Caenorhabditis elegans: one gene and its partner. The protein of the gene in region 2 interacts with the protein of the main gene of each other region in a pairwise test. Each region holds a gene or a part of one and is shown on either strand. Other genes may lie near its edges.

Evidence for each region.
Region 1: the proteins of nhr-42 (region 2) and F55H2.5 interact in a two-hybrid assay, tested with the Caenorhabditis elegans proteins (one large-scale study listed by BioGRID).

Annotation. Positions count from the first base shown.
Region 1 is NC_003281.10:9,509,240-9,513,894, reverse strand, and holds F55H2.5 (Putative transmembrane ascorbate-dependent reductase CYB561 homolog), read right to left. Parts: upstream 2,426-4,655; 5' UTR 2,421-2,425; coding exon 1,804-2,420; intron 1,294-1,803; coding exon 1,110-1,293; 3' UTR 520-1,109; downstream 1-519. Other genes in the region: F55H2.8 (FIP (Fungus-Induced Protein) Related), read right to left, coding at 1-4; F55H2.7 (uncharacterized protein), read left to right, coding at 256-317; vha-14 (V-type proton ATPase subunit D), read right to left, coding at 4,485-4,589. UniProt on the Caenorhabditis elegans protein: Putative transmembrane reductase that uses ascorbate as an electron donor in the cytoplasm and transfers electrons across membranes to reduce monodehydro-L-ascorbate radical in the lumen of secretory vesicles.
Region 2 is NC_003283.11:6,996,995-7,001,301, reverse strand, and holds nhr-42 (Nuclear hormone receptor family member nhr-42), read right to left. Parts: upstream 2,484-4,307; coding exon 2,401-2,483; intron 1,962-2,400; coding exon 1,643-1,961; intron 1,598-1,642; coding exon 1,472-1,597; intron 1,381-1,471; coding exon 1,317-1,380; intron 1,269-1,316; coding exon 1,157-1,268; intron 1,109-1,156; coding exon 993-1,108; intron 947-992; coding exon 696-946; 3' UTR 651-695; downstream 1-650. Other genes in the region: nhr-107 (Nuclear Hormone Receptor family), read left to right, coding at 4,233-4,307. UniProt on the Caenorhabditis elegans protein: Orphan nuclear receptor.

The DNA of each region.
Region 1 (4,655 bases), on a different chromosome or scaffold from region 2:
TCATTATTGCCAAGTTGAAGTTTTCAAGTGAATAATTTGAAAATATTGAACATTTCCTCTGAATTTATACCATCCATAATCACATGTTTTATGTCTTAGGCGCACTGAAAAACATGAAATAAATCATAAGGAACTTCCTCATTCTCTCAGTCAACCTTTAGTTAATTGAATAAATTGGCCTTAATTCGAGTGTTTGTTTTGATATATATGTTTTGAATAACTAAAAGTAAAAGATACAAAGATCACAAATTCCAGTTCTTTCTCCACGTCGACGACAGAAAAGAATGCGGTCACTTTCAAGTCAAGGAGACATTTAATTTGTCATATAACATTCTCATTATTACTATTCGATCTCTTAAAATGTGTATTATCTCACTACAATATGTAACTGTATATTTGTATCAATTCTAGTACTGGTTATTCGTTTATTTCTCCCCGATTTTATAATACTTATTTATTTTACGGTTATTTAACTTTCAGCCCAATTTTTTGTTTCATTTGCATTTTAACTTCGGTTTTAACAGGTGCATAAATATTTATTTCTGAATTTATATAGGCTCGATGCATTCAGATAGAAATTTGATTAGGCAATTAGTGAACATGGAGAGATGAGATCGTAAAATTGTAGAAATAAATAAATACGGGGGATATGGGACAACGGGGCAAGGATAGGCGACAATTCTACAAAAATTACTTATTGCGCCATGTTTTTCCAACATTATCTAAAAAAAACAATAATTTCTGCTAAAAAGTTACCAAAAAGGGCCTGAAAATTCTCGATTGCGGATTACCGAATTAACGAGTTTTGTTTTCCGGCAATTGGCAACTTTTAGGCCATTTTTTATCAGTTTTTAGATGAAATTATTGTAAATTCCAGATAAATCATGTGATTCTCTATAGTGCGACACAAATTTTTGATGAAAATGTTGGAACAACATGGTGCAATAGGTAATTTTGTAGAATCGCCACCCATTCCTGGTCACTGGGAGCAAGGGTGTCGTCGAAAAATTTTCGATTTTCCGAAAACAAAATGTTCAAAAAACTAAACAGACATTAAAAAATTATTCGAAAAAATGAAAATTTTAGATTTTTCGACACCCAGAAGACAATTAATCAGACATGGAATGACTGGAAGTCAAATGATGAAGTCCTTCTTCTTCAGGAAGTGATTGACGCTTCCAACGTGGATTCAATACAAGAAGGAGAACACAGACAGTGTATAGGAAAGTGAAGACTCCGACGAATGAAGATGTTGCTTGTTGAGCACACATTTGACCTTCTTTAGTCCAGCAACTGAAAAAATAATTTATTTAAATATATTAACTTTTAGATCTTGGAATTACTTGTTTTTTGGTGAAAAAATAACGCTTTTTTCAAAAAAAGTGAGCGTTTTCGTAGAAAAAGTTTTTTGTTTCAGATTAAGCTGAATCATTATAACTGAATTCCAACCCTGAATCCAAAAAAAAGTCAATTTTTCCAGCGATTTTTTTGATATAAATTTTCTTCTTTTTTCTCGAAATTTTACGATTTTTGCGCTAAAAAATACGGTATCCGGTCTCGACACGACAATTGTTCGTCAAATGCAAAAATTTATGTGACTTCTTGTTGCGGAATTTACATCGATTTTTCACAGTAAAATCACATTAAGTTTGCCGGTTTGCCGTGAAAAAAAATTCTGCAGGGTTTGAGATTACAGTACTCTTTAAAGGCCCACGGCCTTTTCGTATTAATAAATTTGTCGTGTCGAGACCGGCAAAAAAATCGAAAATTTTAGCGTCTCCGTAATAATAACATAAATCTTACGTATGCTTCCATGCTGCTCTTTCCGAAATTCCCATGGCTACAGTAATCGAGACAAAAATGAAGATGAGCACACCGAACATTTGATGGAATGGCATAACGAGTTGACGAATCGGAATTGGCATTCCCGGGAAGAAGTAGGTGATGAATCCGACGATGTATTGTGCAAAGTAGAGAATGACAACGGATAGGCCAATCCATGAATGTAAAGAAACCAAATTGACAATTGGTGCTGGATTTCCAGATGGATCCTTGTGAAGGTTATGGTAGTCAAAAACTGCTTTAAGTGCCATAAGCATGAAGACAAGAACACACGAATGAAGAATAACATGAAGAGTTTTACTGAATTTCTTTCTTTCATTACGGAATACACGATAAACGAGAAGAGCCTCTCCAAAAAGGAAAACCATTCCCATAATCATAAAAGTCGGATGATAGTTGAATTCCTTATCAGGATCCTCATTCCATGCGAATCCACTTTCAAACTTGCTCATCCAAATGGTAACCAGAAGAACGGCGAGCCCTCCGAATACTTGAGACATAACGAGAATTATGTTGAAGAGTTTCACACTTTGGTCCTCCCGAAGGATAACAAACCCCGGATCGAAGAGGAGCGACATGTCTCCTGAAATTAATTTTCAATTTTTAAAATTTTTCTTGAGTATTTATGTACACGAAGTTTTACGCATGATTTTAAGATTAAAAATAATATAATTGGGTCAAAACTGAGATTATTCAAAGATCACAATTATTGCCAATAACATTCAAAACGGGTAAAGCCAATTTTGATTATCACGAGGTGGCAACTCTATCCCGAAGGCTTCGGCCGAAGCAATATGAACGAATGAGAGAAGAAATGAACACGAACGAGAGACTCCTAACCGTCTGTGTCTCCCGAATCTGTCAAGAGAGTCGCGCGCCTAAAATCAATTCTTTGTTGTTTTTGTGTTTTTGACAGGAACATGAAATCCGAAACAATACAATTTTAAAGTAAAGAAAATAAAAGGGCATTAAAAACTTTTCTTTATCTAAAGGGAAATTATCTTTACAAGTTCTAATATGCCAAGATATCATGGTAAAACCTTTCAAAACAATTTTTTAATTTTTGACAAAAAGTGGCCAAGTTAATAATTTTGTAAGTCGACCAAAAATTTCAAAATTTTCCCGAAATGTGGGATTTTTGAATAATTTCGAGGATTACTGTAGAACCCCTTTAAACTTTAATTACATAAAATTGAAACTCAATTAAAAAATAAATAAAATTGTAACAATTAATTTGCGTTTCAATCAGCTCGTAATCAAACATTCTACGGGTTCGAATCTCATTTTTTGAAAATGTGGCAATTTACCAAAACTTTGAAAAAAAATGTTTTTTTTGGGTTGTGCTCGTTACTTTTACTCGCTCAGTGTTGTGCTCATTACCCAAATGAGAGTTTTTGGAACCAAAACAAAGATACTTGAAATCAGAAAATTCAGCTATACGAATTTGAAATTTCTAAATTTAGATTTAGGCTCACAATTTCAATTAAATAAGAAAGTGATATTTAGGTTTCTATGAACTGTTCAAACAAGTTTTCTATTTTTTTTGAGAAATAAAACTTATCAAAAATTGTAAGAAACTATTATAGCTCACTTTTCAGCAAATTATATGTAACGTGGAGCGAGATGCTCAATGAGCAAGAGCCACATTTAAAAACGTCAGTCAAATGCCTGAAAGAGTGAGAGAAACCGACGAAAAGAGGCAGAAGTGTAGAAGAGAAAAAGAGAAAAAGAGGAAGGGAAACCGAAATGGGATATGTCATTGAAGGGCCAAAAAGAAGGATGAGAATGAGTAGAAGAAGAGCACAAACAGAGTGAGTGAAGAGGATTAATGGATTATAAAAAAATAAATTAAGAAATTTATGAAACTTTTTGAAAATTAAAAAATTGAAAATTTTTTAAGTGGTATTTAATTAATCTTAATTAAGAATCCGCCCCATATCTAAGTGCACTAATACAAATTCAGAATTTCAAGAAGATGACATTACATAGAAACCCATATCGAAATTTAGAGAATAGGCAAGGAAAATGTTCTGCCGAACAAATTGTGAATAGAAGGGCTCTTCACACGAATAACGAGCCTCTCCGTCTCTCACACTTTAATTTTCGTATCTTCAATATTTTAGACCACACGACACCACTCAAACCACTTTCCAAAAACGCAATTATAAATGGCTCTTCTCTTGCTCACAGTGTCACTTTCAGTCGACGACGACATAATTCAATAACGGCTCTTTTTCTGAACAAATAAATAATTAGGAAACAACTTACCGCGGTGGAAATTCTTATTTACTGAAGATTTCATTTACAAACCTTTACTACGATAACATCACGAGTCTAAATGGAAAATGGAAGCAGGAAAATGTTAGGAATTTTTAAGTTTTAAAAGAAAATGGTTGGAGTACATATTCACAGAATCGATTGTTCTTGCATACGGGAAAATTAATGGAATGTTTGTCAATCTATACGAGAAGAAACCACATAGAAAACAGGAAGAACATCGGAGGGTGTTGGATGAGGGGAAGGAAGGGGGATCTGATTACAAATAATGATAAGAGACTAGTGGTCAAATGAGTTCCTACCGTAATCCGAAAAAATTAAAATTACAGCAGAAATCATTGTGAGGCAATCAGAAAATCAAATGGTTAATTGAAAAGGACTGGCAAGTTATCTTCTTCCGATGCAAGCAAATTTCGCGGTGGATTATTTTCAGAATGTGCTGCGTCCTCTCCTGGTCCTGGTCCTTCCAACTGAAATTTTATTTATCTTTTTTAGTTTTAAGTCGTCTCTTATGGGTACACTGTAGTGACAGCATT
Region 2 (4,307 bases):
AAACTATTTCTATAGCTCTACAAACGCCCAAATAGTATTTGAAAAAATATTTAAAAAAAAACCCCCTTTTTTTTGCTATTTTTTATTTGCAAAAGTGTTTTTTTTTTACTTTGTTCCAAGTATCTTTATTTAAACATTATAGGGATTAAAAAATGGGACGCTGTTCAACATTTGTAAAAAAACACACATTGTTATTATTGTATTATAAATTGTAATATTGTATTGTAAACTATATTGTAAACTAAAATATATTGCAAACATATTGTAAACTTGGCAGTTGACCAAATATTAAGCGAACATTTTCAAATAGCTTGTAAAGTGTGAAGTGTTACAAAATTTGGTAATTTAGGATCAATTTCAAAAAAGAATTTTTTACAACTAGAATTGGGCAATAGTCGAAATTCCCATTGCGTAATATTTCTTGGCCATTTTTAATTATTGGAATTTTTCCATTGATGTTTTCCGTGCAGACCTGGCACAGGCTGGCAGCAATGAAAACCAGTGAGTTTTCTCTATTTCTATTTTTCACAGCAGCTGTAGATCAAAAAATGCACATTAAAATTTTTAGCCATAAGTCACAAAATGAATTTACGCCGTTATCTTTTTATCAACTTTCAAATCAAAATTTAACGCTCCCTCGAACATAATATATTTCTTGAAAAGTTCATTAATCATCAAAAGTTTATACACTAGATCTATTCTGCCATATTTCCAAAAATACTGGAATGCATATCATAAACATTATACACCAATGAAATCTCCTTTGTCTCGTGAATCATGTTCATGGTACGTTGAATACCGTGTAGAACCATTATAATCTGACCAACTCGATACGAATGATCTTCGTTGATCCGAACGTTTTTCTCGTAATCAGTCAGTTCTTCGATTATTTTTGCTTTCATCTGTTTGCAAACTTCAATACATTCTTCGTTTTGGTCTAGGAGTCCTGAAATAAATTTTTTATTAAATTTTAGATAACAGCTGAAACATACCATCATCGAAATATATTAACGCAGTGATGAACAAAAATTCGGGAAGATCCAGCTGAACATCATCTAAATGGGTCTTGAGCGTTTGCTTGTTTAACTTCCAGTAGGGTCGAAAAACTCTGCAAATTCAAAATATAAGCACTGGGAGCACTACAAGTAAAACTTACTCCGCAGCAGATTTTGCGCTATTATCATTTTGGTCATCCGGATTACTGTAGTACTCTTCGATTCTGTTCTCATCAATGAAATCTCCACTTGGCAGGTAGAATAAGTCACTGTCTGAAATTTCAGACAAATTTAAAGATGTATTGTTTAAAAATAACTCACTTGTGGATTTGTAACCACCTTCAAAGAGAATGAATGGAACCATGAAGTGTACGCAAAGGAGCTTCTAGAATTGTGACAATTTGAATAGGAAAATTTTCAATTTTTCTAGATAAAAAATTTTTCAACATTGAGTAAATAAAAAGTAAAATTAATACTTCCTGTTCCTGTGAAATATCTGATTTTTTGAATGTCTCCAACAAATGCTCCATTACTAATTTTATGTCTTCAAAGAACACGTCATTCATTCGCTTGTAATTGCAACATTGGGAGACGTGTGTTTCCTGAATATTCTTAAAATTCGAATAAACTATCACTTTAAAACTTACAGAAATGTTAAAAACTCGTTTTCTCGTTTCTTCAAGTTTGTGATAAGCACTTTGAAGATTCTCCAAAACACTGTCAGACGTTGAGGTAGATGGCTCATATGCATCCGGCGACCCAACAATTGATTTCTTATAATTCTGATTCTTCTTTGCAAGTCTTGAAAGTACCGCTGATTCTCTCATTCCAACTTTTAAGCACTTGTCATATCGACAGCTGGCACACAGTTTCCTCATCCCGGTGTCAACTTTGCATTGACGATCACAACGTCGAAAAATATTTCGGCGACCGGCCACCTTCCTACGGAAAAACGCGGCACATGCTCTGAAAATAAAAACTGATTTAGAAGTTTTAGCAAAATCAAGTTCTGGCTTTTTGATGGGAAAAACCCTACATTCAAAACTGGAAATATTTTAATAAACTAAATTTTTAATCTGACAGTTTTTGAAGGAACAATTTTTTGCATACTGTAGTTTATTGATAGTAACACCCAATTTGAAAGTTTTTCGAATTTATCAGCAAAATTTCGTCTATTTTTAAAGCGTAGAACAGTATAATTGGAAATAAATCAGGTTTAGAAAGTGTACAGTTTTTGAACAATTAACAACTATGACTGTCATTTGGGCACAAATAGTCAGCGTTCTGGGTGATCTACGCCTTCATCGTGCTTATTTGGGTTCCTACCAATCTACGAAATGATATTAGCAAGTACGTAAGCCAAAATAAAAAGATCTATAAGAATTAGTATTTATTTCACACTTACCTGCATGACAATGCCCCAAAATGGAGAGAATCAGCAGAATCTCCACAGATCAAGCAAGTTTGCGACGTAGTTTGTCTGGTCATCTGGAAAATTTGAACATTTTGTTTGAAACCGATAAAAACTAACAAGAGAGGTTCAACGAGGGAAATACCATTTTGAAGTGTGAACAAACACAAAAAAGGGGCAATTGCACGTGCTTTCTTGCCCACCGATAACAGGCATTATTGATTTTCACTTATTACGTACACTACAAACTTCTTGTTGGTCACTTTCGTGACATTTTTAACTAATTTTTTGTTTCTTTAATTGCAATTTGAAAAAGTCTATATCAATAACCATCAAAAACGGAATAGAAAAAATGCGAACAGACAGAATAAAATGGATAAATAGACTGCGAAGGGAGACTTGTGAATAGATGAAATTGGATAGAGATTGGCAAAGAGAGACGCAGAGTGCAAAAGACAGAGAGATAGAAACAAGAACTGATCAGTTTCATGTACTTTTTGTAAATGATCGTCCATCGTTTTCTATGTTTTTATATTGTTTTTGATGAATTCCTAAATTTGATATTGTCTAATTACAGTGAATAAAGTTTATGTAATAATTCGTGATTTAGGGAAACCAGAGAAGAAAACGAAGTATGTTTGCTCTAAAGCTGTTGTAGTGAAAACAAACGTTCTTTGTAGTGCAAGTTTAAGAAATCAAGTAATCATATGGAGTGATCAGAAATCATTTCTTAGAATAAGTTTTTAGGATACGGGTAATAGAATAATCTCTAGCTACTGGAAAAGTCGTACGTCTTTAATATGTTCTATTTACCCTAAATAAGTTTTCTGACATTTTTAGATATGAATGTGAACAAATAATATTTCCTTCGATGCATTTTCTGTATTTTTCAAATTATTTTTTTCTACTTTTCACTAAATATCAGTTTTGGCAATCTACAGATTCAAAAAAGCTCTTAAATTCCGAATTTGTATATTTTTAAGGTTTGAAAAAATGAGTAGTAACTTTTGACAAACCAATAAAAACGATTAATAATCTTTGAAGTGATTCTGCTTGGTTCAGAAAATCATGTGAACCAGAGACCACTCCATTTTACGGTTCAATTCGGAAAGCCTTGTCGACAAGGCAGAAAAGCAAATATGAGAATTAGTGCACGTGTTTCTTCAACCAGATAGCAAGAACTATCGATTTTCCTTTTTTTCTGTTTCGTTTTTTTGTAAAATTGCAAATTAGTCCGAATTAGTAAGTATCAATAACCATCAACGAATGTGATTTGAAGAATAATGAGAACCATCACATTAAGTTAGAGAACACCAAAAACAAAGCAAAAATGAGAGTGCGGGAGAGAAACATGCTTGATAAAACATGAAGTTGGCATTTTTTGAAATTACTGAACATGCAATTCAAATTATGACGCAAGAACATACAAGAAGTACAGTTGAAAATGTCAAAAACACAAAAGGCAGATAACATTTCTGTTTGTGCACATTCTCGAACTCTGCTCATTTCAAATGCACAAACTATTATAGTTTGCCTACACGTGTAGGTTGTAGATTGTGCGTAGTTCGATGCGTAAAAGTGTAAAAAAGGGAAATGTTATTGATAAGGGACTCTGAAAATTTTATTAACTTTCCTTAATAACATTTTTTAGCTCCACTCTCTCTCTCTCTTTTTCCTCTGTCTCTACCTCTCACACAATAAATCGACCGGTCGATTATTTTCATGTCGTCACTTTTTGAGCGATTAAATCTAATTCTCTGTCTTTTTTGTTCGAGTTTTTCAATTTGAAAATTTCAGATTTCAGATAAGTTTGAAAAGCAACAAAAATGGTGAATTGTATGGTTTGTGATGCGTCATCGGCTCAGTATCATTTTGGAGCAATTGCATGCAGAGCATGTGCT